7 linked regions of the Danio rerio genome follow. The protein of the gene in region 7 interacts with the protein of the main gene of each other region in a pairwise test. Links are inferred from orthologs where the notes say so. Each region holds a gene or a part of one and is shown on either strand. Other genes may lie near its edges.

Region 1 (4,934 bases), on a different chromosome or scaffold from region 7:
GGAGTTTGCATGTTCTCCCCGTGTTGGTGTGGGTTTCCGTGCTCTGGTTTCCCCCACAAGTCCAAAGACATGTGCTATAGGGGAATTGGGTAAGCTAAATTGTCCCTAGAATATCTGTTTGAATAGAAGTGTATGGGTGTTTCCCAGTACTGGGTTGCAGCTGAAAGGGCATCTGCTGTGTAAAATGTATGCTGGATAAGTAGGCAGTTCATTGCGCTGTTGTGACACCTGATAAATAAAGGGACTGAGCCAATGAATGAATGAACTGCAATATGAATACATTTTCACCAGATGACTTGAATGGCTCATTATGGAAATAATTACTAATTTTCAAAATCCAGGAGATCATGATCCTCACCCCCTGTTCCATCTCCAGCAGTGAAATCTCCTCCCTGGATCATGAAATCTTTGATAACTCTGTGAAACTTGCTGCCTTTATAGCCGTAACCCTTCTGGAGAGATGGAGAGAGAGAGAGAGAGATGATCTGTGTTATGCACACACACACACACACACACAGCGTTGATCATAAATGAGTTCACCCGTCACAGATCTCTCTTTCACAATCATATTTTGTACAGGATGCTTTACAGTAATATAATTGGGGTGGATTTAGTAATTTGGAGGCCCTTAGAAATTCCAGCCAACAGTTCTAATACCCACCCTTTGTAGTTTTATTTATTTATTTCTAATTTATTATTATTTTTTTTTTTTTATCACACTTAATTTCTGTCTTAGTGCAATCTCTACATTTAATATAATGTGTTTTCCTGAAGTGAATTCACAACTAAAAATAATAAATAAATACATAATTTTCATCTGATTTGGCTGAATTATAGCCAAATTACACTGCCAAATGAGTTCAAATGTGCTTTAAGGACAGCAGAGGGAATGTTTTGGAGTGGCCATCACAAAGCCCTGATCTCAATCCTATAGAACATTTGTGGGCAGAGCTGAAAAAGCTTGGGCGAGCAAGACAGCCTACAAATCTGACTCAGTTACAGCAATTCTGTCAGGAGGAATGAGCCAAAACTCCTGCAAACTATTGTGAGAAGCTTGTGGAAGGAGACCCAAAACATCTGACCAAAGTTATACAGTTTAAAAGCAAAGCTAAAATATACCAAGGAAATGTGTGTAAACGTCTGACTGTCTAGAAATTAATAAAACATTTTCTCATTATTCTGGCAATTAGCCAATGTAAATCATTTAGGTAATCCTGACAGACCAAAAATGTTTAGTATCATTTACCGTCATACATTAAAAAAAAAAAAAGTTATGTTCCTTTTTTTAGAGTACATGTAAACTTCTGCTTTCAACTGTGGATGTATGTATGTATATATATGTATGGTTAAAGTTAGGATGCAGAGTTTTACCTCTCCAGTGGCCAGAGACACAAAGTTCTGTACGGTCAGAGGAGCTACTTCACCAAACAGACCAATCACGATCCTGCCAACCTCATGACCACCCACGGTGATGTCGAAAAACACCTGCAGCACACACACACACACACACACACACACACACACACACACACACACACACACACACACATTAATATACAGACACATTCATACACACAAACATTCATAGACACAGACACACATGTTCAAAAAGACATGTTAGACACACACAGACCCACACACACACAAATGCACACACAAATACAGGCACGTACATCCAAACACACATGTATACACACTTACGCACACATGCATACACACATATATGCACACACAAATACAGACATATCCATACAAACACATTTATGTACACATGCATGAACACACGCATACACACATGCATATACACACAAACACAAACAAATACAGACACATGCATACAATCACACATGCATAAACAAACACATACACACACAGACACACATACACACGCATATACACACACAAATACAGACACATGCATACAATCACACATGCATAAACAAACACATACACACGCATATACACACACAACTACAGACACATGCATACAATCACACATGCATAAACAAACGCATACACACACAGACACACATACACAAGCATATACACACACAAATACAGACACATGCATACAATCACATATATGCATACATACACATGCACACACACAGAGCAAGAGCTAAGTGTACAGTTTGCTAAATATCTGAAGACATTATACACCGTATGCAATCAGACTATTTAAATAATATTAAATAACCCTTCATTTAAGGTGTCTTTACACAAGCTCCATGTATTACTACAGTAATTACACACAACTTATCTGCAATATTAATCATATAGTAAGTACACCCAATTTTCATAAATTTCTTTTTAAATATTTTTTTCTTGACTTTATTTGTTGGTTAAATGTTACAAAGAAAAAAAACACTGATCATTTTAAATTATATAACTTAATAAAAAACAAAATGGACATTTTAAGTAGCATTTAAAATACGTTTTACTGTTTGTTGAATTGTTTTGCTTTTACTCCTGTTGATATTGCACCATAAAAGACAATATTGTGTAATTATACAGTACTGTCGAGAGGTGCACGCGATAGTTTTCCACCACAAGATAACCCAAACATTTATTTTGATTTATAATTTTATTTTTCAGTCACAACACATGAGGATGTCATTCTGAATAATTGCCTTTTTTATAAAAAAAAATGCATAATATTATTTGGAATAACTACAGAATTGAAACACTGCCATCACCAACTCTTATTTCAGTGTGCCTGAAACTCCTCAAATGTGACGCATTCCAGTGAAGCGCGTCGCGTCAAGAAGAACGCAATGAACAGACGCATGCGCACAGCACACAGCGATTTGTACTTAAATAGCGATCGGCTGTAGGTTTAGTTTGTGTGTGTGTGTTGTGGATGATGATTAGGATGATGATGGTTGTGTAGTGTTTGCAGAAGATGCTGCAGGACGCGCGTCTCACCTTGTCCGTCACTTGCGGTCCCGTTCGCGTTTTAAAATCAATCGCGCTGCTTAAACACGGCAGACCGAGGAGAGAAAACGCGTGCCAGAGCCGAAACCGCTGCATCTCTGACTGAATGTATGAATATAAGGGTCTGAGTGTTATTAGGCTGAAGAGAATCTGCAGATTCCTTGCGTCTTCCTGTATGACGCTCCTCCTCCAGCGCGCACGCGTCATGACGCACAGTGTCGGAGGAATACACTCAATACTGTACAAGGATGGCGGAGAGTAGCAGCACTTTGTGCATTTCTTTTCATAATGACAATATATTAAACCCACATCAATCAGATACTCGCCCACATTGGCATAACATGTACATATGATAACATCAAAATCAGAACAAGCTTTATTGTGTTTTCCTGACAGAAGTCAACAGAATGACAGTGACAGAGCAAAAACACAGACAATGCAGGAATAAAATTAAATACACAATTTGACATGCATGTACAGTATCTAATATATCAGGCCCTATAGCCACACTGCAAAAATGCTTTTTTAGATTTTCTGTCTTGTTTCTAGTCAAAATATCTACAAATTCTTAAATTAAAAAGCATTTTCAACACAAGCAAAACATATTGTCTTGTTTTAAGAAATAATCTGCCAAAATGAAGTGAGTTTTTCCTAAAATCAAGTTAAATAATCTGCCAATGGGGTCAGGAAAATAATCCTGTTTTTCAATTTGTGATAAGATTATTTTGCTGACGCCATTGGCAGATTATTTAGCTTGATTTTAGGAAAAACTCACTTCATTTTGGCAGATTATTTCTTAAAACAAGACAATATGTTTTGCTTGTCTAGAAAATGCTTCTTGATATAAGAACTTTTAGATATTTGGACTAGAAACAAGACAAAAAATCTAAGTAAAAAAAGCATTTTTTGCAGTGCATGGGTGGGTTCGGGTGGTTCAAAAGACCCACACCCCACTGACGAAGGTCCAGAATTTGTCTCATATACATTACTCCCAAAATCAGAGGGGAATAATAGCTGGATAACAATCATGTAGTAGTGCATAAACCTAACCATAAGCATAAAACGAAAATAAACGGTAAACGTACCCCTAAGTCTGATTGGGATATTGTTCAAAGATCAACATAGATGTTAATTCAAAAGCACGAGGGTGAAATTAGGTTGTCGACGAGGGTATGAGTATGACAGTAGACTAATGTTCTAATCCAGGTGGGTCTAATCATGTGTGCGTCCCAAGCTGTTCTATCTGGTTCTGATTGCCCTTTTCTCGACCCCCATACTATGCTGGCTCTAAAGGTCCTGTGTTCTGACCACCGGATTGTGTTCTAATCTAACTGGTTCTGTCTGTCATTAGTATGCAGATTCCAATAGTTTGAATTGGATTGTTGCATTTGATTTTGTTCAGAGTTACTTTCAAGTGTAGAAAAACATGTGCTTTGTTGACCAATCTCCAGTCCATAATTGACTAGTCCGGCATTAGTTCTGAAATGTGTGGTTGTCAAGCTAGCTGTCTGGATTCAAACTCTTACAACATGCGCTGTTATGGTAGTTTTAATGTGGAAAAAGTAAGTGGATCAGTTTACCCCGGCTGGTTCACTTTAACACTTTGATTTTTCTTATCTGTCTCAGTTTACCCCGCAGCTGGGGTAAAGTGAGACACAAGAAAACTTTTTTAAAACAATCATATTTTCACTTTTCTTTATCCTAAATACAGTCTGATGAATTCCCTTGCTAGAAAACATTCTGAATTAACGAGAAATGTGTTAATTTTACTGATATATAATTTTAGCTGGCTTACAGGGGAGCAAATGTAAAAAGTGTCTCACTTTACCCCGCTCTCCCCATACATCAGCTCATGTGTCCTATTTTGACTGCTATGCCATCATAAATTATGAAAATCACCTATCTAAGAAGGTGACGCGGTGGCGGAGTGGGTAGCACGTTCGCCTCACAGCAAGAAGGTTGCTGGTTTGAGCCTTGGCCACGTCAGTTGGCATTTCTGT
Region 2 (4,399 bases), on a different chromosome or scaffold from region 7:
TTGTTATGTTATGTTATGTTATGTTATGTTATGTTATGTTATGTTATGTTATGTTATGTTATATTATATTATATTATATTATATTAGTACAGTTACAACATCTTAAGGCACAGTTTTTATTTCAGAATATTTGTCATGTTTTGCCAACAAGATGCTACAACATACATTAGACCAGAACTTAAAAATTGATGAACATGTCTCAAAAGTGGTTGGAAATAGTTTCTACCAACTCCGCCGTCTCTCTAAAATGAAATCCTCTCCTCATTCACACTCTCTAGAAATTGCCATACACACGCTTATAACCTCCCGGTTGGACCATTTTAACTATCTCTATTTTGGGCTGTCTGAGTCTTAGATTGCTCGCCTACAGTTACAGCAGCAGCTAGATTTTTAACAAAAAGCCTGAAATATGCACGTCACTCCTATTTTGAGGTCTCTCCATTGGTTACCGGTGACACAAAGAATCGAATTTAAAAAACTTCTCTTTGTGTTTAAAGCCCTACATGGTCTAGGCCCGCATTATTTATCCCAACTGATTGTTATTTACACTGCATTCAGACATTTGCGTTCCGCTGATCAGTTTTTATTAAAAGTTCCAAAGGCCCACCTCAACAGTAGGGGCAAAAGTGCTTTTGCCATATCAGGTCCTCGCCTCTGGAAAGCCCTGCCATTAGAACTAAAAAAGGCTTTGTCACTGCTTATTTTTTAGTCTAAAGTAAAGACTTATTTATTTTGTAGGTCTTTTGAAGCAAAAATCCTTCCCGTCAGGAGTAGGGGGGTGGGGGGATCAAAACGTTCCTGTTCTTAATCTTATTTAGTGTGGTCAACTGTGGTAGCATCTTATAATTAGGCAAAATTTCAATTAGTTTTTTGCTCTTTTTATTGTTACACTTTCTATGTTTTTTCCTTTTATGTGCCTATTGCTGTTACTGTTTTTATGCCCATATCGTCAGTTTATTTTTTCTCTGTAAAGCACTTTGTGCAGCCTTTTGGCAGTTGGAAATGTGCTATATAAATAAATTAAACACATTTGTCCTCGAAGAAAGAGTTGCTTTAGAATACAGATCATCACAAATTTAGTGCAGACAACCATACAGTTATGACCTTATCTATAACATATTGACAACTGTATTTTGCTTAGAGCTAGTAAATTCTACACCCTTAAATTATTATACCTGATTTGTAAAAGTAACATTGCAAAATGCACATAAACATATCCAGATGAACATGTAACCAGATAATGAGCAAGCATTCAAGATACTTGTTTCATTAGCAAGACAGTAAACATTTATTCTTCCAGTAAGTTAACATTATTTTTGTGATTACATTCATAAAGTACTTTTTGATTATTGTGGCATTAATATAGTTTAAACTAATGCAAATGTATTAGTTTAAAAATTATTTTATAGACATTGTACACAAAACGTGAGTTGACGATATGAATGTAATCTGTTTGATAACATGCAAACAAGGGTAATTAGTATCTCAGAGTAACAGGGAAGTGTGTCAAACAAGCAAACCAGTTCACTGGTTAGAGTAAAAACACATCCCCTTCTTATGTCCAATTAGACTCTTACCTCACGGGACCCACAGGACCCCCCCAAAAAGAGACAAAGCAACGATAAACAGGAAAGAAATGTTAAATAAAATGTCTGAAAAGTGGTAGTGTACCACCTCACTTCAAAACAGACTTGTTCCAAAAAATTAAATCAATAATAAACAGCAAATTAAACACAAAGCAAGTTATATGAGAAAAAAACTATAGCATTTTGAATCAAATTTACAGTATTTGTGCAGGAAAATAAAAACGGAGGGAGTTTATTGCAGCTGTAGAATTCAAACGTACAGTTCTGCAGAGCCAGACGTACCTGAGAAGTTTCTTGTGACCAGGAGAGTGGTCAGAATTGCACCCTAGTTGCAAAAAAAAAAAAGTTTTGGAAATGGAAGAAAAGGGGAAAAAACAAGAAGCAGGAGAGAGGTGAAAGAAAGAATAGCACAGAAGCAACAGCAGAGTGTCATCTCTTTTTTGTTTATTTGCAAGATGAAATACTTTTTCTAGTTTGAAACCTCTTATAATGACTTTTCATAAATACTTACAAAATGTAATTTAAGTATAATTAGCCAAAAAGCAATACAATAGTGTACTGAAATACTTTTAAAGCACAAATACCCTGGCCTTGTTTCAATCCATTTATATTTATTAACATGCATTCAAATGCATTATTTGTGATCGCTGTGATTTTGACAAAACCCCTGTCTCCTATTTAATCAAGCACTATATCACTTTTGCAGGAATGCTCATATGCATGACATGTCCCGATTCAGAACACTCACACTTGTCAAACGAACCGGGAAACAAGCCAGGACACGGTTCAGATAGCATAGTGTGAGTGCACCCTAAGCCCTGTCTGTGAAAGCAGGCCTTTGATTCATCCACTTGTAATTACATTGATGAAAATGCATATTAATACCTGGTGTAAACAGAGTCTCTGTGACTCGGATTTAGAGAAAAAGCAAGTGCACACACAATGGTGAAGCTCTGCGAAGTAAACTCTGAAGGTGTGGAGAAAGCTAAAGCTTGGTCAAAAGTAGAAAACTGTAAAAGATCAGTTAAAAACTAACCTTGAGTTTCCTTCTGGCGTTGAATTTCTTCAAGCACTCCACGGTTTCCTGTCTGTGCATCATTGAGGCAACAGTGGAGCGTTGCTGAAGGAAGAGAAAGAAGATAGAAAAATTAGTCATTAGTAAAGATTAAAACAGTCCTTTGTTGTACTGTGTATAGACAAGCTTGTTTACTAGTGTGTGTTTATGTGTTAAAAAAACATACGCAGATCCAGGGGTGTTTGAGGGCTTCAGCAGCTGTGATACGTTTAGAGGGATTGATAGTCAACATCTTATTAATCAGATCTTTAGCTTCAGGGGTCACGGTGTCCCACTCGGGAGAAGGAAACTACATTTGGAGATAAAACAACACAATTGAGCATAGTTTCATTATTTTGTATGAACATATATGCTGTGGAACCCAAGATATCATCAAGTTATCATCAGTGTTGCCCAATGGTTATCAACAGTCTCATCATATTCTGCATATGTAGCTCTAACAGTGTCTTCTTGTATAGTGTGAACACTTTGCAGGAGAAATCTTCAACTTCAGTCTTACATCATAGGCACCAGCCTTGATCTGCTGATAGAGGCGATGCTGGTCTTCATCCCAAAATGGCGGATATCCAACCAGCAGAATGTAGAGGATCACACCTGTGAGAACCAGAAAGCTCCTATTATGGCCACATTCAGAGGGGAAACTTCTTCACAGCAAATACTTCAAATAAATTCAGCTTTAAAATGAGTCTGATGAAATCAATAGTTTTTTTAGGTCATTACAGTCGGCATGAAATCAAAATGTACTCTTCTTATTTTTATGTGTACATAGTAGTGTTTGCTAAAACATTGCATCTGTGCAATTCATTATTTTGTACAAATTATTTTGCCCTTATAATGTTTTATCAAATACCATAACCATCTCTCCCCCTTGAAACAACTTTTTTTCACTTCTGGTCACATGGAATGCCTTTAGGGCGGGGCTATCAGGGCGTGTCCTATTTCTGCCCTGCTTTCGTCCATCTGTTGATCCTTCATTTTGTTAGCAACACCCATCTTCCAGCAATCCAATTATTTTCCAATTTTTCTCATTGTAGGATCGTTTTAATCAGATGTACGCCATGACATGGGAAAAAGAACATCTTAACTTCCCTTTCATTTGACTTCAAAGACAGTATATGCAAGAAATACTTTTGTGCAAATAAAAAAGAGACCTTCTCCGACTAATCATTCATCAACACAAGTTAGCATACAGTATATAGGCAGTAGAATGGCTACAGAAGCCAGTGTTACTGGTGGCACTGAGCTTCATTAACATATTTTGTTTTATTTTTATTTTTATTTATTTTATTTTATTATTTTACTTTAAAAAAAGGAATGACAGCGGAATGAACCGCCAACTTATCCAGCAAGTTTTTTTACGCAGCGGATGCCCTTCCAGCCGCAACCCATCTCTGGGAAACATCCCCACATACACACACACACACACTATGGACAATTTAGCCTACCCAATTCACCTGTACCACATGTCTTTGGACTGTGGGGGAACCCGGAGTACCCGGAGGAAACCCACGCGAAGGCATGGAGAACATGCAAACTCCACACAGAAATGCCAACTGAGCCGAGGATCGAACCAGCGACCCAGCGACCTTCTTGCTGTGAGGCGAACGTGCTACCCACTGCGCCTTATTTTATTTTATTTTATTTTATTTCATGCCAAAACAGATCATCAGTATCATTCAAAAGCTCCCATACATCTTCCTGATTATGTTATGTTTGCAGTGAAATTTCTCACATTTCT
Region 3 (4,399 bases), on a different chromosome or scaffold from region 7:
GTTTAGGGGGATGAGCGTAATGGAGGCCAGCTAGTGAAGTTCTTAGCAGGTAAACCTCACTCCTTTGACCTCTAAAGGTGTTCTAGCAACAGACACTAGAGGCCATGGTCTTTAGCTTCCTTGTTAGAGCAACCGACTCCCAAACAAAGAATCAACAGTTCGATCCCAGCTCAGGCTGGGTTTGGTGCAGTAGGACCAGTGGGTAACAGTATAATCACATTTTTTAAAGTCCTGTAGCTTAGCAGAGCATTGTACTAGCAGCACCACTGGTCATAGGTTCAATTCCCAAGGAAAAAATGATAAAAACATCAATAAAAGTGCTTGCCAAATGGATAAAAGTAAACTTATCGCCATGAGGTGAAGAAAAATCCTTTTGCTTTGGTTTTGATCATCCTATCAAGGTGTATTTTGTAATAATGACCGACTGACTGTACATTACTCTCTATGAGAAACCTTTTGGCTGGAAGACGCCCAGGATGGATGATGAAGGTAGATTGGTGAATTTAGAGCTACCAGGAAACCAGAAACTTAGGAATTGAGTGGACATAGGCCAAAAGGAGAGCGCATTAATCTCATTAGGGTTATCTGAACATCAGGCAGAAAGATCCCATATATTTCAACATTGAGTGTCGTGATGAGAGAAAGAGGAGAGGAAAAACAGAACGACAGCATCTCATAATGTGTGGAGAGGGAAAAGACGCTGAAGAGAGAAAGAGAGATATCACACATTAACTCGGGTCCAAGTTCCAGAGGGCACTTTGCGGTCATTTCCTGGCCTGACAGCTAACCACAGACTCTTGGCCTAGGTTTCAATCGTTCTCCAAGAACAAAGGGCTTCCCCCAACAATCAATCAATTTCTGTGAAACCAGGCTGGAAAAAGTCCATCACACTCAGGTTTCAGTAGGAGAAAAAGTGTGTTTTTGAGGTGTTTGAGTGTGCTTGACTTTGGATGCAACAGTATGAATTGAGCCATCTGTAGTTTGGTTCCATACCTCTGGGAAGCCAGTCATGTTGACCACAAGTAGCTGAGGAGACTTCATGGATATCTGGCCCAGCTGGTTGAGAGGAAATTTGCCATCCTTTGTGGTGACTGTAATGTGGTCCAGTGCACCTGAACACATAAGAACAAAATCTTTTGTTAGCCAACAGGATTCGCTGCAATTATTCAACCATTATCCACTAAGGACATAAAGCAAAAAGGGTTCAAATCACAACCGATATTTAATGTTTGACATGGAATAAAATCACAATTAAACAAAAGCTATGATTGTCATGCACATCTTGTCACTGAAGGACAGTTTTGGTGATCACTAGTAAATCTCCTCTGAAGAGCAGAGGGCGCTCTCGCGCACAACTTCCAAACACCCATGAAGAAGGCACCCAGGAATTTCCCAGAGTGGTTGGTGAATAACCGTACGTTCACACCGAAAGCGGCGAGAGCGTCAAAGTAGCCGGAAGTCATTCATTTTCAATGAGAGCCGGCGGCGATAGGCGGCGAGGAGCAGCGCGGCGCGTCTTCGCCGGCGTAAGCGTCGAGGAGAGTTGAAATGAAGTCAACTTTATGGTAATGAGCTATGACGCGGTTCGGCGGCAAGCAATCAGAATGAAGACGTCCATCGCTTGATAGCAGTTCAGAGAACACAGACCTGTGAACTTTGGTTCCAACCACAGTTGTTCCCAAGGGTTTGATTATTGTGGTCGCCGGATTTCCAATTATTTACAATTTTTTCCTACAGGAACATACATTAAATAAGTTACTGGCGAGTTACTGACGTTCATTAATGTTATATAAATTTATCTTAAAAAAGCGGGAATCTCACGCGATGTGAAAGTACGAAACAGTACTGCTGCTTCAGGATATTTCAGACATATGGACACATATTGGATAAATAGAGCAAAGCCACATCACACGCAACTTGATCTTCCATTGTTGTATGAATTTGATAAGAAGTGCGCAACATTTTCACGCTAGAAACATGTTTTATGCAGGAATGTAACTGATATGCTGCAACGGCTCCTTTTAAAATGAGATCAATGTAGCGAGTTTTAACGCTCTCGCCGCAGGAGCTGAAGGCAGAGAGCGTTGTCGCCAGGGCGGCCAGAGTGACCTTGGACGCTCTCGCCGCTTTCGGTGTGAACGTACGGTAAGAAGATTTAACTGCTTTAATTGAAATAATATGACTAATAATCACATGGCTATAGAACTATCTCTTAGAAGGATTTATTTCAAACACTCGATTGAAGAATTTGGAATAAAAACATGTAATTAAATGTTGTATTTTGAAGAGCTTTCACCATAGACAGTAAAAGATATGGACGTAGTATACTTGATCTCACCCACGTTTCTGAAAGCACAAATAAAGCTACAAGTAGGCGTGGCCAACCGCACCATTTTGTGCGCGTGTCATCCTGCCCACCGGGGGCTACCAAAAAAGAGCAAAGAGGCAGAGCGTGAGCGGAGCTACAGACGCTTGCTAGCATTTTGCTTAGATGAGCTTTTCTTTGGGAGAAACGCTTAATACTTCATTACCTGCGACTCGTTTGTGTTCTGACCATTTGTGCTTGGTTGTGTACTGTATAAATAAAGTGTTTAGTCTTTTAAAATCACTGTTGTGATAAATTGAGCCACTAAGCACTGTTCTTATGACATTTTTTATAGAAAGAAAACACGAATAACTCTCAAATACTTCAAATATAGTCTGTGTTAGTAAATGCAAGGCTTTCATACTGTATATACAGTGTGACATCCAGGCATAACATTGTATGACAACGTTTCAGATGACTGATCTATAGCCTACAGCGTATTAATCTGTCAGATTCTGGAGTGCATTACAGGTCTAAATAAAAATATAAATGATAAGTAATCTTAAATAAAACAAACACATTTAGAAAGATGGTATACAAGTATTAGAATTTCACTCACCTGAAAAATGGAGGCAGCGTGAAGGGTTTGTGTGCACAATTAAGTGCACACAGCATGCTATATTATCTGATAATTGTAAGAAATAATTCCAAAAGGCAACTTTAATTGTGTGAACCCACATAAAACAAAGCAAAAATGCTGAGCTCAGCGGCTAATCAGCCGGAATTAGCTGAGGTGACATGAATGCGACCATCGAGACCTCGCTGTTACTCAAGTGGCCACGCCCTTAATTATGCAGACTTAATATAACTTAATATAAATGAAATGGATGAGTTATAAAAAAAATAATAGCTATTTGAACCAAAATAGTTTTTTTTTGGACTAGGCTGTAAACAAACCTGCTGTAAAGTTAGACATTTTAACAATGGGCTCAATAGAAATGTGCTCTATTTGATCCAGGCCTAACAGAATTTCAATGAATTGCAGGTTTAGTTACTTCCGTATTAGCTTCACGAGAAAGAGCAGGATGTTACAGCTTGACTTTTACACATAGCAGCAAGACTGTAGAACACTGATGAGCTTTGGCAATATGTTTTGGCTTCACTCTTCTGGACATTTGTGTAGTGTGGTCCCTATGTTGAGCCTGCTCTCTAATCAGGACCCTTGGAAATGTCCAAAGCTAAGGGGTACCCTTAAGGTGCCTATGATTAGGCCAAAATAACCTTGTTTAAGGGCCATTCCAGAAGCTAAAACAGTGAAGCACAATGCTAGAAACATCATGCCCAGGAAATGCAAGAACAGAAAAAGAATGTTTTGACCTAAAGAATGTTGCAATTGTTTTTGCCCATACAATGAAAGTCATTAAGGCCCATAACAACATGGAATGCCATTGTACTGTACAGACAAAAAAGCAGAGACATTTTTCAAAATACCTTATTTTCTCTTTGACAGAAGAAGAATGCCATGCAGGTTCTAAATGACATTTCATTTTGGGAAGAACTTTTAAGACAAACAATGGAATAACTGCCTACACTCCATCTGACAACAACACATTTGCTTGAATTATGTATGTTTTTCCTATCAGTTAATGCATCCTTTCCCTACCAGTCACAAAAAATAAAAGGTTGCAAACGAAGAGACTCATTTCGATGATTGTTGTGACGACATGTCTCGCTCTCTTTGAGGGATGAAAGCACCCAGTCTTTCTCTTCAGACAGAAAACCAGAACATTTCGCCAGCATGTCTCCTTCCCTCATCTGCCTTACCTCACGCAGCAATGTTTCTGTCTCTCACCCTTTGTCCCCAGGCTTACCTTATTTTATCCCACACTTCAGGAGAACACTGAAACACTCCATTACACTTTGATCTTTCACAAGAGAACCTGCATGTGACTTTTGTATATAAAACCCTCTCAATTCTCCATACAGATACAATTTTGTCGGTCAGCTACTTGAACGGTAATATCCAAGAAAATTATACTTCGCTATCCTTGAAAACTAGCATCTGCGCAATCTCTGATTGGTTCAACAGTGCTT
Region 4 (5,089 bases), on a different chromosome or scaffold from region 7:
ATAAAAAGCAGACAAATACATTTCCTTTTCGAGGAAATGGCATTTTCTTAAAATATGTGGTACCGGTCACAACGCCAGTTCAAACAGTTACAGTAAATCAAACGCAGCGCAACACTTGCTGGCAAACTGATCACAAAACAAACTTTTGAGAGTCAAAGGTCCAAACCAGTGACTGGCAACCAAACATTTACATTTTTAACCAGTCAGCAAGAGAGAAAAGCCTCTGGAGCTGCCACCTCAAACCACAGCGGCCTGCTCTCAGCGCGACTCCCCACAGGCTGTTTTATGAATGAGACATCTGAAATACTCTACAGCCTGCAAACACTAAAACATTCACAATGCCTGATAAGAGAACTAGTTAGTTATAAATTACTTGAAAAACAGTGTGATACTGTATGTCATGAAACTTTGGGTCTTCTGTATATCAGAGGCTACATAAATTATAGCATCATTCTGTCTAAAAGCGTGTAAATGATAAACAATAATTTTGTAAAAGAAGGTCAAAATATATATATATATCGTTTCGACATTGATATCGCCAATGTGCGCATCTGGAATTGCCACATTGCAAGATATGCAATGTTGAGTCTTAATTATAGTTGACCAGAAGCTACAGAACACGTGATTTATAGAGTCACTGCTAAGTCTAACCATAATAGAGTGAAGGTTTATCATTCGCATGTGTTTTTAAGGCCTGTAACTGAGCATTTTGAGAGAGTTTAAAACATTTGGGCACAAAAAAAATATGATGTTTGGAGTTAATTATTTATACAGATTTTATATGATTTTTGCAAAAAAAAACTTACTTAGAAGTTATGTTTCTAATACTAAGCTAGTTTTTTTTTTATTTAGGTGAAAACAAAACAATAATTTCACTCAATCTAAGGATTTTTAGATATCTTGACTGAAAAAGAGACGAATAAAAGTAAGAATCACAATAAATTAGCATATCAATATTTCGTCCCACCCCTAGTGATTATTCAATTTCTGTACCTTAATACTGTCAGACTAATTATTAGAGAGTTATTTAAGCCATCTTTTAAAAACTGAAATATCGAAATAACTGATTTTTCCAATATCATGCAGCCCTTGTCGAAATTCACACCTGAGATTTAAATTCCAACTCCAAATAATCAATTATTACGTCAAATAAATAGTATTTCAAAACTGTAGAAAAATAAAGTCACAAAAACTATCATGAAATTATATAAAATATAAAATAATGGGATCTAAACCAAGTTTATTAAAAAGTCTCCTTTAGCTTGATTCCACCAGCTTTATAAGGTGCACCCTGAAATGCTCAGGGAAGTTCCCATCTAAGCTTGACACTTGGGAACATCTCAGAGCATCCTAGAATGCACGTCAGGAAACTGGAATACATCTAATTATTATTATTTTTTTAATTTATGAATAAATCTACAGATTTTAAAACTACAGGTGTTAATACATTAAAATGGTAATTTATTAGTGATGCATTACAATGGATGTTTTTCTCAATACTGGGTTGGAGCTGGAAGGGAATCTGCTGTGTAAAACATATGCCAGAATAGTTAGCGGTTCATTCCACTGTGGCTACCACTGATAAGAAGTGACTAAGTACAAGGAAAATTAATGAATTTGTTTGTTTTTGTTAAAATACAAATTAAAACATTAAAAATACATGAATTAAATTTTTTTTCATTCATTTAAATTGTATATATAAAAATTCTAATTATTTAAATACATTTATTTAAAATTGTGTAGTTGTGTTTAAATACACACACACAACCACCCCCCCTCACACACACACACACACACACACACACATATATATATATATATATATATATATATATATATATATATATATATATATATATATATATATATATATATATATATATATTTACCAAACAAAATAATATATATACTATTTAACAAATGAATAATTACATTTTAATAATTATTCATTAGTAACACATTTTATGTATTTTAAAGTATTAGTTAATTAAATAATTTATAGAAATAATAAAAAACAACTATTCTATAATACTTATTTTAAATAATCTGGATTTTAATGCATAAAATGTAACAAAAAAATTGTAAAAAAAAATAAATAAATAAATAAATAAATATATATATATATATATATATATATATATATATATATATATATATATATATATATATATATATATATATATATATATATATATATATCCAGAAATATTTTTGTTACATTTTATGCATTAAAATCCAGATGATTTAAAATAACTGTTATAGAATAGTTTTTTATTATTATTTCTATAAATTATTTAATTAATTAATACTTTAAAATACATAAAATGTGTTACTAATGAATAATTATTAACATTTAATTATTCGTTTGTTAAACAGTTTTTATGTATAAAATATGAACATGTTAATAATGTGTAATAACTGTTATCTTTATTCATAATAACAGCAGAATCAGTCTACTAAAAGATATAATTAGTCATATATGTTGCTTTCAGAGTTAAAAAGGTTAAGAATCTCTGTTCTACATTACACATGCCATGCATATTAATGCAGGTCATTTTTAATGCAACAACAAGCCTCATGAGTTCCTTCCTATTATTACGAAATATGAGAGACATTATTACTACTGTCAAATATTCAGAAAGCGGAAATAACGCCCACAAACCACTGGAGACCACGTGTGTGTTTACAAGTTACCACAGTGATGTCAAGTAAACATGTGGCTCATCACTTCTGGCTTTATGCTAAATTCAAGACTCAAGAGCTCTACTGTAGGATTACCTGTGCACACAGGTGAGCTGGGACTGAGCCTCTCTGGAGACAGTCTGTCATGCTCGGGGGTCTGGAGGGGTTTGGCTCTGTGACCGCAAGACCACAGTGGCGAGGATGAAGACGGAGAGGATGACAAATGAGAGGTAAAGGCTGAAGGGTCCGAGCAGCCGCAGCTGGTCTGCTGTGAGGGGGAGCAGCACTGCGGGCCCAAGTGCACACCTGAGTGGGCTGAGGACGAGGATGATCTAGGGTTTGTCGCGTGGACAACGATAATGGGGCTAGTTCTTGATGAAGATGATGGTGAGGGAGAGGAAGAAGCCGCTGTTGGTGTGATGAACGCAGAGGAAGTGGACGTGGCTGCTGAAACGGCACTGGAGGAAAGGGATCGCGTGGGGCTCCGGCTGTGAGCTCCGCTGCTGTGGCATTTACCGTTACCGGAGGATGAGGAGGACAGAACCGTCCGTGTCTGTAGAGGGTGCTGTGGCTGCGTTTTCAGCTGGAAAGGAACCGTGGCTTTCATGGGCAGCAGGCGACCCAGTAAATTCACTCCAGCGGCGCTGATCCCCGGGGATCCGATCGGGCTTCCCGTGGTCACTCCGGACGTCGGAGATCCGTTTTTGCGAACTCTTTGAGACATTCTGTTCGCTGGGAAATCGCGCAGAAGTCAACAATAACAGTTTAAACGTGCGTTTAAGACCGCCTGGGGTGGTTAATGCTCTTTGGTGCTCTTGTCACTCCATTTAAAGACAGTTTTAAGCTTCCTGACTGGCACAGCCGAGCCGTTCCGCGAGCTCGAGTAAACTGAGGGAGATTCAGAGCCACGCACCGTCAACTCGATCCAGCGCTCTGCCTCCTTGCCCCTGATTGGCTGGTCGCTCTCCACTCACAACTTCTGATTGGCTGGGAAGTGGATTCTTTAATTTCGTGAGCACGCACGGTTTATTATGAGGAAAATGTTTCATGGTTTCGCTGTGACGAAGGTAATTAAGGTTTATGAAGTAGGTTAGCAGGATTTATCAATATGATATATTACTGTCTGCTTCTCTTGAGTTTAAAGGCTCTTAAAATAGCAGTTATCAACTATGTCTGACAGCTGAACAAGATGCTGTCATTGTTATAGAAATATTATTAAATTTATTAATAAATAATCAATTTATAATTAATAAATTAAGATTAGAAATATATTTTTTGTCATTTGAATGCTGTAAATTGTCATTTTAATCAATTTAATTTTAAAGATGTCTGTAAAAAAAATACAGGCCCGTAGCCAGCCTGTTGAAAGGGATGTTTTTTTTGTGTGTGTGTGTGTGCTGTTATTCGCCTCATTTTCTATTCAATTATGCATTTTAGTAACACTTTAAGAACTATGCTGGATCAGCTTGTCGGACGGTGATCATAACCTCACTTTTTTGATGCACAAAAAACATTTCCTAGTTTTGTCAAAGTGATCATCATACTATTTTACTACGAAGTATTTATTTACAAACTTGGATTTAAACTGTAAGTTAATCCAGTTTTATAAATATTGTTATGAGATTAGCATTTAAAAATTGAATAAAGAAATATGAAAAAAATACTTATTTTTAAATACAAGTGTGTTATAATGCATTATTCTAAAAATAGTAATCTGGTAAAACTTGTTTTAAAATAAAAACATTTGCCTATGGGCAAATAAAAACTGGCCAGCTCATTCAACTTTCCTCAGTCAGAATTTGGCCACTTAATTCAAATTTGTATAAAAATTTAAGTTGTCTTAAAGCCTTCTTCTATCTAGAATTTTCACAATGTGTGATGGCATAGCAGTCAAAAATGAGCAAATGAGACAAATGAGCTAATATAGGGGTCAGATTCTGGACTTAGTCACCCGAAAACCTCCAAATGCCCCCCAGCTACGGGCCTGAATCTAAAGAAAATATAAAAGAAAAAAGAAAATATAAGAAAAGAAAACCCGCTCCCAACATAAAACCACAATATTTTATAAATTCAGTATTTACTTCACATTAGTAACGTATGTTGTCTCATACATCAAATCTTCTGTGATCTACACAATCACACTACAGTGAAATAAAAAATACATGAAATAATATGCCTTTACTCTTAAATCTAATTGTTTAAAAAAAAAAAAAAAAAAAAAAAGGGCCTGTCTAGGGCCTACGTGTTTTTCCGTCTTAAAAAATGGTTGGACAGACAGACAGACAGACAGACAGACAGACAGACAGACAGGTAGATAGATAGATAGATAGATAGATAGATAGATAGATAGATAGATAGATAGATAGATAGATAGATAGATAGATAGATAGATAGATAGATAGATAGA
Region 5 (4,399 bases), on a different chromosome or scaffold from region 7:
TTCACTTTATGTAGACAAAGTGGTGTTTACGAGACTAACTCATATTGTGCGCCAGAGAATCCTTTTAAAAACTTGTCACTTTGTGTAGACGTAGAAGTGTTTAGTAGGCGAACACTAATGCTGAGTTCAGACTGCATGAGTCGTGTCACAGATGTTTTCACACTGCATGACTATCTGGGTTACCGTTTGGTTACTGCTTTGTTTACACTGTAAGATGAACCGGCAACAGGGGGTTTCACACTGTATGACTTTAAAATAGGATGAATCGACAAATTCGGTTGGTGGTTCGAGCCTCGGCTCAGTTGCCGTTTCTGTGTGGAGTTTGCACGTTCTCCCTGCGTTCGTGTGGGTTTCCTCCGGGTGCTCCGGTTTCCCCCACAGTCCAAAGACATGTGGTACAGGTGAATTGAGTGGGCTAAATTGTCTGTAGTGTATGAGTGTGTGTGTGAATGGATGTTTCCCAGAGATGGGTTGCGGCTGGAAGGGCATCCACTGCATAAAAACTTGCTGGATAAGTTGGTGGTTCATTCCACTGTGGCGACCCCGGATTAATAAAGGGACTAAGCCGACAAGAAATGAAGACTCGCCAAATTCACACAGCATGATTTGAATTGCCGACAATTCAATTTTTCTACTGCTAAGATGACATTTGTCATTATCAGATTCCCTCTTTCATTAAATTGAACAATATATAGGCTAGAGTAGTTACACTGACACTGTAAAACATTTATTCTCATGTACAACACTCTGTGTTCGCTATGACAGAAAAAGCTTTAATATTAAATGCTTGTCGTAATCATAACTCTATAATGCGATATGAAATTTTTAAATGATGTGGTTCATACTTCACGCGCGGCTCCCAAACGATCGCTCTGTGCAACAAACTGAATGTTATTCGCGACTGTATTACCTGATATTCACAGCCTATGAAGGTTCTGTTTAGAGATGCGCGGATGGGCTACTATTTCATCCGCAACCGCATCATAAAACTCATTATCCGTCCGCCATCCATCCGCACTAACATTTTTTACCTATTTTTAAAACCGCACCCGCCCGCCATCTGCTGACTGAGCTCTTTATTTGAATGGCTTATTCCTTTTTATTATTAAATGAATGTTTCTTTATTGATTATTAGAAAATAGAGAATGACTTTAATGACATGCAGTTAATCCAAACGTGCAAGTCAAATCCAGCATTAATTGACGCTTTGAAGTGACGCTAAACAATACGAGGACGTGTCGTTTCACTTGATTCGATTCCTTGGTCCTTGAGGTTTTTTTTTGCGTCCTTCCCTCGCATCCTATAGGGGTGGAAAGACGAGGAAAGAAAGCAAGGAAAGGAAACGAGGATACACAAATAAGAAATGAGAAGCACCCTATAAAGCTCTCAGAATATCAGCAGTGAACTCCGTCTCCAATCGGTGCACAGGGACAAAAATAAATAAATGAAACGCACTGTACTGTACAATTTTTTTTTATTATAGTAACCTAATAGAAAACGCATTTTGACACATCATTTCAACATTCAGACGAGAACGCCTGGCCTCTAATGCGCCCTGCTGCACTGAAGGAGCGCTCGCTCGCGGCACTTGTTGCTGGAATGCATAGAATTCTCTTGGCAAGGTGCTGTAGACGTGGGAATGACTGCCTTGTTTCTCCCAAAAAGAAAGTAGATTTTCCTCTGCTGATCCGTCTATTCTTAATTTTGTAGAGGAAGACTTCTGTACTTCATCCAGAATTAGTGTATCCGATTCCTCCTCTCATTCTGTGAAGTCAGTCCTAGGCTTTTTCGTTGGTGCGCCAGCTATGTGTACAAAAACAGTACAACCGCCCGCCACCCGCCCGAATTTAATTAAAATATTATTTTTCGTCACGTCATCCGCCCGATCCGCGGTTTATCCGCGGAATAACCGCCATCCGCGCATCTCTAGTTCTGTTCACTAAAGTAGACTTCATTCACATGCGCCCGCTCTCTCTATGGTACCAGCTCACAGTCAGCTCACATCTAGTGTGATTTCACGGCCGTGAATACGTCATTCCACGAAGAAAGAAATGGCATTTTCGAGTGATTTATACCTGATAAACAGTATGTGACTCTTTTATTAACATTTGGAGGAGTCCATATTGCTAAACAAAGTATATAAAACATTGTGAAGACTTGTGCGGCCGCCTTTTCTTCTCTCCTGAACTTAAACATATGATTGGCAGAATTGTAGAAATGCTGGATTAAGATCGTTTATATGGGTGGAATCGAGATCGCAGTTTTTTCTGATTAATCGTGCAGCTCTAGTGCGCGCGTGTGTGTGTGTGTGTGTGCTGACCTCTTTGAAGAGTTTGCTGGGTGCAGCGATGGCTCTCTCCTGCTCCAGGTACGAGGCCCAGCACCAGGCCTTCTTCTTGCCTCCATACGGCACCGCTGCATCATGGGAAATATCAGAGTCAGACTCACCTAGAAGCATCTGTTTGTGTGTGTGTGTGTGTGTGTGCGTATGCACATATGTGTGTGATTGTCTGTGTGTCTGAATGCATGTTTAGGTGTATGTGTGTGTATGTGTGTCTATGCATGCATGTGTGAGTGTTTCTGTGTTTATGTTTGTGTCTATTTACATATGTGTGTGACTGAGTTTCTGTGTGTGTGTGTGTGTGTGTGTGTGTGTGTGTGTGTGTGTGTGTTTGTATGTGTGTGCGCGTCTTTTCTCTGTGAATGTGTACGTATGCATCTGTGTGTATGGGTTTGTGTGCATTTACATGTGCATGTGCGTGTGTGTGTGTGTGCACATAGGTGTGTGATAGTCTGTGTGTCCGTATGCATGTTTAAGTATGTGTGTGCTTCTGTTTGTGTATTTGTGTCTGTGTACATAAGTAAGCATTTGTGTGGGGGATGTTTGTGTGTGTGTATGTGTGTCAATGTAGGCATGTGTGAGTGTTTCTGTGTGTATGTTTGTGTCTATTTACTTATGTGTGTGACTGAGTTTCTGTGTGTGTGTCGGTTTGTGTGCAATTACGTGTGTGTGTGTGTGTGTGATTCTGTGTGTCTGTTTGTGTACGCATGTATGTGTGTGCATGTGTCTATGCATGTGTGTGCGTGTGTTTCACTGTATCGGAGCAGTGCTGCGTCTCCTCTGCGTTTCTTGCGTCCTCGTGTCGCTCCTCTGGCTGGTCGCCTGCTTTCTTTCTCTTCCTGTTACACACACACACACACACACACACACACACACACACACACACACACACACACACACACACACACACACACACACATATCTGATGTGAAACCTGAAAGCCAGCAGATCAGAAACACACACTTGACTCTACAGTATTTTCTGTGTTTTTTCTTTCGACATAAAAGTGTACAATCACTTGTGATCTTATTTCAGATTAGTTGAAGGATAAGCTCATTATATATCGTATAATTAGCTCATTATTTCTGAAAACAAAACAAATCTTTTTACTTGTCTAATCTGTAATAAAGCTGTGAAAAAGGACAGCATTGAAAACATCTGCTTTACAATGACGTCCACCAAGTTAGCTGGATTCAGGGTTGCCAGATTGGAAATGTCAAAGTATCGTATCAGACCCTCAAAATTATCGTATTTGGAGGAAAATTATCGTACACGAGTCAAACTGAGAGTATACAGCTATTATCTAGACACATAGCGTTTTGACACAACGTGCAAATTACCACAATACGTTAAAAAAAAACTAGGTACTTAATGGGAAGGTTCAAACTCCACCTCTGAGTTGCTGTAATTGAATGTGGCATGTTGCCAGATGTTGAGGGATTTATTTTCTGAGGTTTTGTTTTAATGAGACTAACTTTGTAAAAAAACAACATGTTCACAAGACGCATTTGAATGGGGAAAAAACGAGAACATCAAGGGAAAACTCTTGTCCCGCTCACCTTCCTTTACAGCACAAATTGTTTTAACATTATTGCTTAAAGGGCACCTATGGTAAAAAATCTACTTTTCAAGCTGTTTGGACAGATCTGTGTGTTGGTATAGTGTATAGACCGTCATACTGGGGTGATATGAACACACCCAGTCCTTTTTTTTCAATTTAACTACAAAAAAAGGGTCGGCCAATTGGAGCTGTTTTCAAATCGATCGCACCATTACGTAGGTGTGCGATCCCCCCGCCCACCGAATTGATTGACAGCTGCGCGCATTAACATGTTCCGGTAGTCGCGTGTATATGTCAACAAGACCAGACATACGCAAAGCAACCGGGAATAAAAGCTCTGTTCTGTTCGCTAGGATCAGCAATCATCATCAAATCAAAAGCGTTTTACTTCAGCTTTACTTCATCAGCACAGCCGCGTGTCAGAACAATTATAAAAGAAGACGCTTCAATCCCGGAAGTTAAATCAGGTTTATTTTTTACATTAGCATAACAGATAT
Region 6 (4,399 bases), on a different chromosome or scaffold from region 7:
AAACAAGTTGCATTTAAAATGTATTAACACTGGAACAGTTGTTTTCAGTTGTACAATTTATTAATATTTCACTCCATAAGTGCTTTAAATCAAAAAAGCAACATTTCCAAAGATTTCCTTTGAATCTTTGAAAAAATCTTTGAAAAATCTTTGAAAAAATAAAGATAAAGATAAAAATAAAGCTCAAATCTCTAATCTCAAATCTCTAATCTCATATAATTCTTTGTTATCATTCATTGTAAGTTTCTGAAGTTGCTGAAAGTTTTGAAAAGGATGGCTGAGATAGATGTTATGTCACCATACAGTGAGTCACTTGCGCCCCAGTTACATCATCACCATCATCATCTCTATTATAAACTTGGCATGAGGTGTTTCACTGATTCGGGCTTTTTGGATGCACACACTGGCCCTCTAAAACCCTCTCAAACCCAACCATCGAGAACAATTGGCTGTGAGGAAAATAAACCCATGAGTCATAGAGAGCCAGAGCTTGTGTTTTGTCATCACAGCAAGCTGTTATCTCCACTATTATAAGTACAGACAACTGGGAAAAGACAGAACAGAGCCTAGTAGAGTTGGTAAAAGTAACAATATTCGATAACTCAATATCGTTTAAGGTCGGTTAAAGCGGTTTACGGTTTAGTCAGTTTAAACGATTAGTTCACTCAAAAATTCTCTTATTTTTGATAAAAAACATTCTCTTATTAAATACAACCTTTTTTTGTTTTTTTGCTTCTAAAAGTTTTACGTTTAATGAAAACTGGATGAATGACAACGTGAATTCAAGGTTCATGCTCAACATTGGGCCATGCTTGATGTTTTAAAAAGGATAGTTCACCCAAAACTGTAAACTCTGTCATTGTTTACTTCTGATGAACACAAAAGATTTTAAACAATGTTTAAAACCTGAAAAACATAGAATTCTACAGGATTGCTTTTCCCTACTACTGAAGTCAAGGGTTGCAGGTTTCTAAATAAATTAAGAGAAACCCCTAAAGAAACTACATGATGAGTAAATTCATTGATTTTCTTTTCGGCTTAGTCTCTTTATTAATCTGGGGTCGCCACGGCAGATTGAAACGCCAACTCATCCAGCACATGTTTTACGCAGCGAATACCCTTCCAGCCGCAACCCATAACTGGGAAACACCAATACACTCTCATTCACACATATACACTATGGACAATCTAGCCTATCCAGTTCAATTATACCACATGTCTTTGGACTGTGGGGGAAACCTGAGCACCCAGAGGAAACCTACGCGAACACAGGGAGAACATGTAAACTCCACACAGAAATGCCAACTGACCCAGCTGAGGCTCGAACCAGCAACCTTCTTGCTGTGATCCGAACGATGATGAGTAAATAGTGAGCAAATTTAAATTTTAGGTGAACTGTCTTTTTAAGACTGCCAATTGGGTATTTGCACAGCTAGTGTTTTTCAGACAATGATAAACTTCCTGTGAAAGCTTAATGTGACTTTTTTTCTATTTTATAAGGTTCCTTTTACAGCATCGTTGTTGTAATGTAATTACAATACATTCAGTTTAATAGACTTAAGCATTGATTTAGTTGCGCAAGCGTAAAATGAGATGAAAGACCGCGTAAAGTCTAGCGCGGTCAGGATCAGCAGACTTGCGTAGAAACTCCATTGAAAATACTGGGGTAAAATAAATTGACATATTTTAAAGACATATCGGGGGAAATTGAATTTATTGCAGTGCTACATGTCCAATCTGAGACCTATTTCATATTGTACATCTATCAGGCAGTGAAGATCACTGATTTTTCAAAAAATCGTGGCAATTTTATAATGGAAAGAGTTCACCGGAAGCTCTGAGGCTGGATAGCTGAAATAAAAAGTCTGTATGCATATACCCAATTGAAGATAAAAGCGTAAATATCGTCAATTCAGTTACCACTGTGCTGTTGTAATATTTCCCCATTGTATCAAAAATGGCATGAATCAGTGATATTCTTCAGGGTATCACATACATAGAAGTCAGAAATTCCAGTATTGTGAAAACACTAGAGCCTACCTTACACTGGACCACTAGAGCTGAGAGACTGGCTGCTCTTTCTCCCTCCTTGAGCTCTTTCTTCCTCTGCTCTTTCTGTTTGGAGTCAGTCTTTCCTCCTGCGTCACTGCTGTCTCCTTCATCTTCATCATCCCCATCCTCATCAGACCTCAGGCTCTTTTCACTCTCTTCAGGAGACTCGCGCTCCTCTGTGGAATCATCCACTGTGCTCTCGCTCCTCTCCTCGGGCTCTCCAGGCTCTTTGCTGTCTGCTAGGGGTGAGCGGACATGAGACGGGATATCCCGAGTCTCTCCACGCAGACGGGGGATGTTGCCTTCCAAGAGGCGCCGCTGCACAATGCTGTGGGGTTGCTGTACGGGGAGGGAAAGAGAAGAGAATTTTGTTAGTTGTGAGTTTGAGTTGGCATGTGAGCTTTTTCCTGCAATTGGTTTACTTTTGAAAGTATTATAAAAAAATGTGTGTGTTCATGGAGAATCTGGATGTTTTATTGTTGCATTTGGTGAAGACTGAGGCTCATGATGAAATGAATTAGTTTTAGAGGTCATATGTTTTTTTTTTTGGCTCATTATTTGACTCAAATACAGACTGAAAAACTAACTAATAAAAATAGTTATTAATTTACAGTATAAAACATTAACAAAGTTAAAATTATATTTAAATATTAAAAAAAATCATAAAAGTCAAGACAAGTCGAGCTTTATTGTCATTCGGCTACATGTGTGGACATACAGAGGAACGAAATGTTGTGTCTCGCAGGACAGCAGTGCTACATAAATTAATCATAAATACAAACACAACACTGGACATAAGAGCTATTTAAAAAACTATGCATAACTAACATATATTATAAGATACTTATCTATACACAGAAGGCTATACAAGTACTTTTAAATGAGACTGAGTTGTCCAGGATATTGTGCAAGAGAGGTAATAAAAGTGAATAATGTGCAAAAGAGGTATTTAAGGCTTAATACTGTGCAAAAGAGTTATTTTAGGTTAGCAAGCAGTGCAACATGATTGTGGTACATTTATAGTAAACATCGTTTTCATTATTGAGTTCTTGTAAGATGGAGTTTGGATAAAGTGTCAGGTGCTTAAAAGAGAAAAGAAGGTTTCTATCAATCAAAGTTTATTTCTAGAGCACACTTAATTACAACCTTTGGTCGACCAAGGTGCTGTACAGTAGCAGTAGCAGGTAAAAACAGCAATACACTATAATAAAAACAACAATATAAAACAATAGTAATAACTTTAAGAGTTTCCAAGAGGGAATACGTTTAGTATAACCTAGGGACTGTTAAATGCACTCGGAAAAGAAAGGTGAGTCTTTAACGTTGATTTAAAAATAGATAGAGTGGGTGCTGTTCTGATTTTTAATAGTAACTTATTCCATAGTTTCGGAACCACAACTGCAAAAGCTCTATTGCCCCTGCATTTGAGATGAGATCAGGGTGTTTGCAATAGATGGCAGTCGGAATTTGATCTAAGCGATCAGGTTTGGGTCTTAGTAGTGATCAGATTAGAAAGATACGGTGGTGCTAGGTTACACAAAGTTTTATAAACAGATAAATGTTATAGTCTCCTTGGAAATGAACCGGAAACCAATAAAGTGATCGCAATATTATTTGTGGCTACTCGTGAGCAAACAGGCAGCCACATTTTGGACCATTTGAAGACTAGAAATAGAAGATGAAGGTTGACCAATATATAAAGTATTACAATGATCTAATCGCGTGGAAATGAAGCATGAATAGTCGTTTCAAAACTCTTCCTGATTAGGATGTTCTACAGGTGGTTTGTAAACCCAGTCACCTGAATGAAGCACAGTTTGAAATGCACAATGTTTCCAAGATACATGGAGTGATTAAGAAAGTGTCTATAGTGCAAATGTGCAACCTAGAGTCAGAGAGATGAGAAAAAAAAAGTCTTTTCTACAGGTGGTTTGTTAAGCCCACTCACCTGTAATGGAACATACTCAAGAATGCATGGGGGTGGATAAGATTTCAGAGGGGGGTAAGTTTATACTATATTACTGTAAATTTATGTTTGGCAACTCTGAGTTTGTATCATGTTAATATTCTGTAATGTAATGTAATTACATTACAGTTACATTACATTACAATACATGTTAATATTCTGACATTTATTTTACAATAACTTAATAAAAATAAATAAAGTTCCACTTACTGTAGGTGAAAAAAGCCAGAACAGCACAAAAAAAAACAGTAATTATGAGGAAAAAAGTCAAATCTAGTGTGAATTTTCCTTTTTTTTTTTTTTTTTTTTTTGCAATTGTGGATTTATATCTGGCAACTTGAGGGACAAACTCAGAAATGTATTTTCTCTGAATCGTGACAT
Region 7 (4,399 bases):
GCAGATAATTTGCATGTGAGCAGCCAGTGTTTTGAGAGCTCGCAAGCAGTTTTGTCCATGAACAAAGGAAACCTGCGCGTGAGCAGAGATTCGCTCTCTCGTATTACAGCACTCCTGACTTATAAAACTGCGCTTGCGACATTTGTCAGTGAAATAACGGCATACTCTGCCAGCCAAAATCATGTCGCACGCACTCAAAGCGAACTTCCGCAAACACAGCGATGATGTCACATCCGCCGCGCGCACTGAGTTTAATATCAGAAAGCTGATTGGCTATCGCAAGTTGACTTTTTTTGTGGTTGTAATAAAGCAAATTACAATTGGACTAGTAAAATAAAGAACTACAAAACCCCAAAAACCTAGCAACAACAACAAAAAGAATTTAAATAAGCATTAGATGTAGCGTTACATGGACATCGCAAAAATAAGACCTGTGCAAAAATATTTAATACCTAGAACAGCGAATTTAAGACTTTTTAAAGCCATACATATCGATTTTTTAATTTAAGACTTTTAAGACCCCGCGGGGACCCTGTTGTCATTTATAACATATGTTGTACGCCGTAAAAACGGGCAGAAATAAAGAAAAAAATAAACAGAACCAACCATTTAATGAATGGTGCTGGTGTATAAATCACATGACCTATGGTCCACTTACCAGCGTACTTTGTCACAAGTCTGAGTGGCTCCGAATGGGGACCCGGACACCATGGGTACTTGAATCGTTGACTGGTTCTTGCCCATCACTGTGTCCAGTTTCTCCACTAAACCTCGACAGGTCACCTCAAGAACCTGCAGCTTTGCTTCCATACTGTCCAGCCGCTGGCAGATCGCCTGACTGATGGATATCAACATCGACTGGAGAAACAGAAATACAGAAATTGGTAAAATATCTAATTATATTTAATACCAGATGAAAATGTCATTTATTGATAGATGAGACCCACATAACCATCAAGATTTTTGCACACTGTTGAAGTGTGTGAAAAACTTACACCTGAGCAATTCATGTGACTTCATTCTCCATACAAGAGGCGTCTTTAAGCTGCCATCATTAAAAAAAGCCTTTTATATAAAGTATTTAACACGTTTTAGGCAAGGCAAGTTTATTTATATAGCACATTTCATACACAGTGGCAATTCAAAGTACTTTACATAAACAGGAATAAAAAACGACAAGTTTAGAACATAAAATGCAGACAATAAAAAATATTAAAAACAGATAAAAACAAATTAAAATGAGTTAAAATAGGTTATAAAAACATGAAAAAGAAAACGAAAAACATAATAGTGCAATCTGTCGGACGCAGCACAGTGCTTATACAGTAACGGCACAGCTAAACAGATGTGTTTTCAGTCTCGATTTGAATGTGCCTAATGTTGGAGCACATCTGATCATTTCTGGAAGCTGATTCCAGCAGCGAGGGGCGTAGTGGCTGAAGGCGGATTCACCCTGCTTTGACAGAACTCTTGGAATTTCTAGTTTATATGATTCTAATGATCTGAGAGATCTGTTAGGTTTGTATTCAATCAGCATATCTGTTATGTATTGAGGTCCTAGGCCATTTAGTGATTTATAGACCAGTAACAATACTTTAAAATCTATTCTGAATGTAACTGGGAGCCAGTGTAGAGACCTGAGGACAGGTGTGATGTGCTCTGATTTCCTGCTTCTGTTTTAGTAGTTCAGTACTTTCGCCTTGTGTCATTTCATTGCTATTACACAAAATTTATTTTTTAGATTTGTTTTGTTTTATTTTTGTTTGTATTGTTTGGGTTTTTACCAAAATCTGGTTCAATTCCATGTCAACTGCTTCTTTAGAAATATTATTCCCAACAAAAAACATGACGTGCTGGATACTTATTTTCCCTGCTATATATTTTTAAATGCAAAACACACCTATTTTTTACTGTTGATTTTTATATGTGCATGCACGAGGATGACTGTTGACACTATTGAATATTCAGATTTGGAGCCCTGATTTTAGTTCATTCCAAAATTTAAAATCTATCATCATAACCCATATGTAGGCCCGTACGGAATCTGCGAATTCACAGATTTCCACCAATTTTTTTTTTTTTTTGTCTATTTGTTTAACTATGTAAATGTGAGTGAATATATATTTTATATTACCTGCAGTAATATTACTTAATAATTTGCTAATGTTTATATGATTTATTTAACACAGTTTGTAATGTAACAGTTTGTAATGTAACAGTCTTTTTAGTAGATATATTAAATGAGAAACTGACTTTGTTTACCAAACAAATGGGTTTGCTTTGTAAACCTTAAATTTAAAAAAAGGGTTATATTTAATTATTCCATGTATTTAGTTACTTTATTTTCAAAATCATTTAGCATAAATTTGTTTTTACAAAATTCCGCGCAGAAATAGCAAAAAATGTCAAATTCTGCAGACACACAATTGTTGTTTTTTATGGTGAACATTAAACTCACAACTCATCAAACAATGAGCAAGCATGCTTGACTGATGAACAATAACCAAAAAGGAGAATCATTGCTTCAGTTTTTACTCCATGATTATTATTTATATGCAGAGATGTATAGTAACGAAGTAGAACTACTTCACTACTGTTCTTAAGTACTAAAAGGCTGTATCTGCACTCTGCTGGAGTATTGTTTTTTTCTCCTATTTCCACTTTTACTTCAGTACATATCTTCAATGAGTTTAAGGGTACTTTCATACCTAGACCTTTGTTTCGGAACCTGTCTCGTTTGCAATCTAGCAATCGCGCTCGGATCTGCGCCAAAACAATCGCTTCGAGATCGCTTGAATGAGATGGTCTCAGCTCGATTCAAACGAACTCTGGAGCAGATTAATTGTAGTGAGAAAGCAATACAATCCGAGCCCGGCTATATCACAGTGTTTTATGGATATGAAAAGAGAATTATGAGTAGGGTGGGAGGTCATTCAACAGACATTCATATATATATTTATAGATTTTAATGAAAAAAAATTCTTGTGTTGTGAAGACAAAATCGAATTATGTATGGAAAGCATTGTCAGTGCACCGAGATATCGAATTGAACCGAATCGATAGCATGATAATGGTAACCGAACCAAACCGTGAGACCAGTGTAGATTCACACCTCTACTCCTTACAATTATAGACCTTTTTCTTGGCTGCTGCATGGAGGGCACCATAGTGACCAGTGTCTTCCGGCAGAATGTTTAGAACTCCCGTTTACGGCGTTTACAACCGTAATTTGCAAGCCGAAAATGGGTTTCAATAGCGTTTTGAGTGAATTACAGAAATTGGAGTGAAAGGTGTGTGTTAAAGCTGTTATAATCTGTCAGATCTGTGGTTCAAGCGAGAGAAAAACGTTATCCTAGTTCATATAAACCGTAAGCCATGTTTCTTTTCGTTCGCTTAATCATGTGCCCCAAAAAAAGATATTTCAAATAAGCAAAACAATATGTCTTTTGACTGCTTTCTTTAAGAACTACATTACACAATACTTGTACTTTTACTTACAATATTTAAGTACAAAAAATGTTGAATACTTTAGTACTTCCATTTAAGTATGGTGCTTGGAGCATTTCAACTTCTACTCAAGTCACTTTTTTGATAGAGGACTTATACTTTTACTTAAGTCTGGGTCTCTAGTACTTTATACATCTCTGTTTATATGTGAATAAAGGCCAGAATTACATCTGTCCATTATATAAATAAGACTTGGATTAAACTGCTTTGTTCATGCTTTTTTGATTCCTTTTTAATTGTCGAATGAAGCATTATAGTTTTGGGAAAATAGACCTTCAAAAGAGGAACCAAAATTTGGTTTGGGACAACATGTGGACGAGGGTGAGTGATGGTGAAACAACCCTTTAATGACATTAGAAAGCTACCTTGATAGATGTTTCTTGACTGATCTCAATTCTTGCTCGTTTCCTCCCTGGTTGATCAGAGTCTTCATTATTCTCCAGAACATCTAGTATAAAATAAAAATGAATTACATTAGTAGGAAACCACAAACACTTTCATGTATAAACATATATGGTATTTTTTAAGGTGGACTTACCTGTTTGGTGTCCTTCATGATTTAAATCCGCCACTGCAATCTGGACTATTTCCACTAAATCTTGCTCTGACATCATTCAAACCTGCATTTCAGAAAAATGTAACCAATAAATAATTGGGGATTGCTTCGGATTGGGTTATAATTAAGTTATAATTATAATCAACAAAAGCAATTAAACTATTAGAGGATAAATAATTGAAAAACGATTACAAATAATTATTCATTTTCCTTCGAAACGCCCACTTATCCAGCATACGTTTTACACAGCTGGTGCCCTTCCGCTGCAACCCAGTACTGGGAAACATCCATACACACTCATTCACACACTTTTACCAATTTAGTTTGTTCAGTTCA

The links.
Region 1: the proteins of banp (region 7) and ppic interact in binary tests that used the Homo sapiens proteins (3 or more experiments, as listed by UniProt). The two-hybrid records come from large-scale screens. The link is inferred for Danio rerio from reciprocal best matches to the Homo sapiens genes BANP and PPIC.
Region 2: the proteins of banp (region 7) and camk2d2 interact in binary tests that used the Homo sapiens proteins (3 or more experiments, as listed by UniProt). The two-hybrid records come from large-scale screens. The link is inferred for Danio rerio from reciprocal best matches to the Homo sapiens genes BANP and CAMK2D.
Region 3: the proteins of banp (region 7) and mrrf interact in binary tests that used the Homo sapiens proteins (3 or more experiments, as listed by UniProt). The two-hybrid records come from large-scale screens. The link is inferred for Danio rerio from reciprocal best matches to the Homo sapiens genes BANP and MRRF.
Region 4: the proteins of banp (region 7) and fam117bb interact in binary tests that used the Homo sapiens proteins (3 or more experiments, as listed by UniProt). The two-hybrid records come from large-scale screens. The link is inferred for Danio rerio from reciprocal best matches to the Homo sapiens genes BANP and FAM117B.
Region 5: the proteins of banp (region 7) and l3mbtl3 interact in binary tests that used the Homo sapiens proteins (3 or more experiments, as listed by UniProt). The two-hybrid records come from large-scale screens. The link is inferred for Danio rerio from reciprocal best matches to the Homo sapiens genes BANP and L3MBTL3.
Region 6: the proteins of banp (region 7) and nrip2 interact in binary tests that used the Homo sapiens proteins (3 or more experiments, as listed by UniProt). The two-hybrid records come from large-scale screens. The link is inferred for Danio rerio from reciprocal best matches to the Homo sapiens genes BANP and NRIP2.

Annotation. Positions count from the first base shown.
Region 1 is NC_133183.1:636,319-641,252, forward strand, and holds the start of ppic (peptidyl-prolyl cis-trans isomerase C), read right to left. Parts: upstream 3,126-4,934; 5' UTR 3,031-3,125; coding exon 2,926-3,030; intron 1,486-2,925; coding exon 1,372-1,485; intron 453-1,371; coding exon 359-452; intron 1-358. UniProt on the Homo sapiens protein: PPIase that catalyzes the cis-trans isomerization of proline imidic peptide bonds in oligopeptides and may therefore assist protein folding.
Region 2 is NC_133176.1:15,575,465-15,579,863, forward strand, and holds part of camk2d2 (calcium/calmodulin-dependent protein kinase type II delta 2 chain), read right to left. Parts: intron 3,256-4,399; coding exon 3,161-3,255; intron 2,951-3,160; coding exon 2,828-2,950; intron 2,707-2,827; coding exon 2,623-2,706; intron 1,912-2,622; coding exon 1,869-1,911; exon of another isoform or gene 1,578-1,868; intron 1-1,577. UniProt on the Homo sapiens protein: Calcium/calmodulin-dependent protein kinase involved in the regulation of Ca(2+) homeostatis and excitation-contraction coupling (ECC) in heart by targeting ion channels, transporters and accessory proteins involved in Ca(2+) influx into the myocyte, Ca(2+) release from the sarcoplasmic reticulum (SR), SR Ca(2+) uptake and Na(+) and K(+) channel transport.
Region 3 is NC_133185.1:9,922,898-9,927,296, forward strand, and holds part of mrrf (ribosome-recycling factor, mitochondrial), read right to left. Parts: intron 1,113-4,399; coding exon 994-1,112; intron 1-993. UniProt on the Homo sapiens protein: Responsible for the disassembly of ribosomes from messenger RNA at the termination of mitochondrial protein biosynthesis. Acts in collaboration with GFM2. Promotes mitochondrial ribosome recycling by dissolution of intersubunit contacts.
Region 4 is NC_133184.1:13,264,620-13,269,708, reverse strand, and holds the start of fam117bb (protein FAM117B), read right to left. Parts: upstream 3,407-5,089; coding exon 2,779-3,406; intron 1-2,778.
Region 5 is NC_133195.1:2,225,086-2,229,484, reverse strand, and holds part of l3mbtl3 (lethal(3)malignant brain tumor-like protein 3), read right to left. Parts: intron 3,181-4,399; coding exon 3,096-3,180; intron 2,416-3,095; coding exon 2,321-2,415; intron 1-2,320. UniProt on the Homo sapiens protein: Is a negative regulator of Notch target genes expression, required for RBPJ-mediated transcriptional repression. It recruits KDM1A to Notch-responsive elements and promotes KDM1A-mediated H3K4me demethylation.
Region 6 is NC_133179.1:18,183,112-18,187,510, forward strand, and holds part of nrip2 (nuclear receptor-interacting protein 2), read right to left. Parts: intron 2,392-4,399; coding exon 2,041-2,391; intron 1-2,040. UniProt on the Homo sapiens protein: Down-regulates transcriptional activation by nuclear receptors such as NR1F2.
Region 7 is NC_133200.1:32,860,485-32,864,883, reverse strand, and holds part of banp (protein BANP), read right to left. Parts: intron 4,128-4,399; 5' UTR 4,122-4,127; coding exon 4,046-4,121; intron 3,956-4,045; coding exon 3,873-3,955; intron 859-3,872; coding exon 659-858; intron 1-658. UniProt on the Homo sapiens protein: Controls V(D)J recombination during T-cell development by repressing T-cell receptor (TCR) beta enhancer function. Binds to scaffold/matrix attachment region beta (S/MARbeta), an ATC-rich DNA sequence located upstream of the TCR beta enhancer.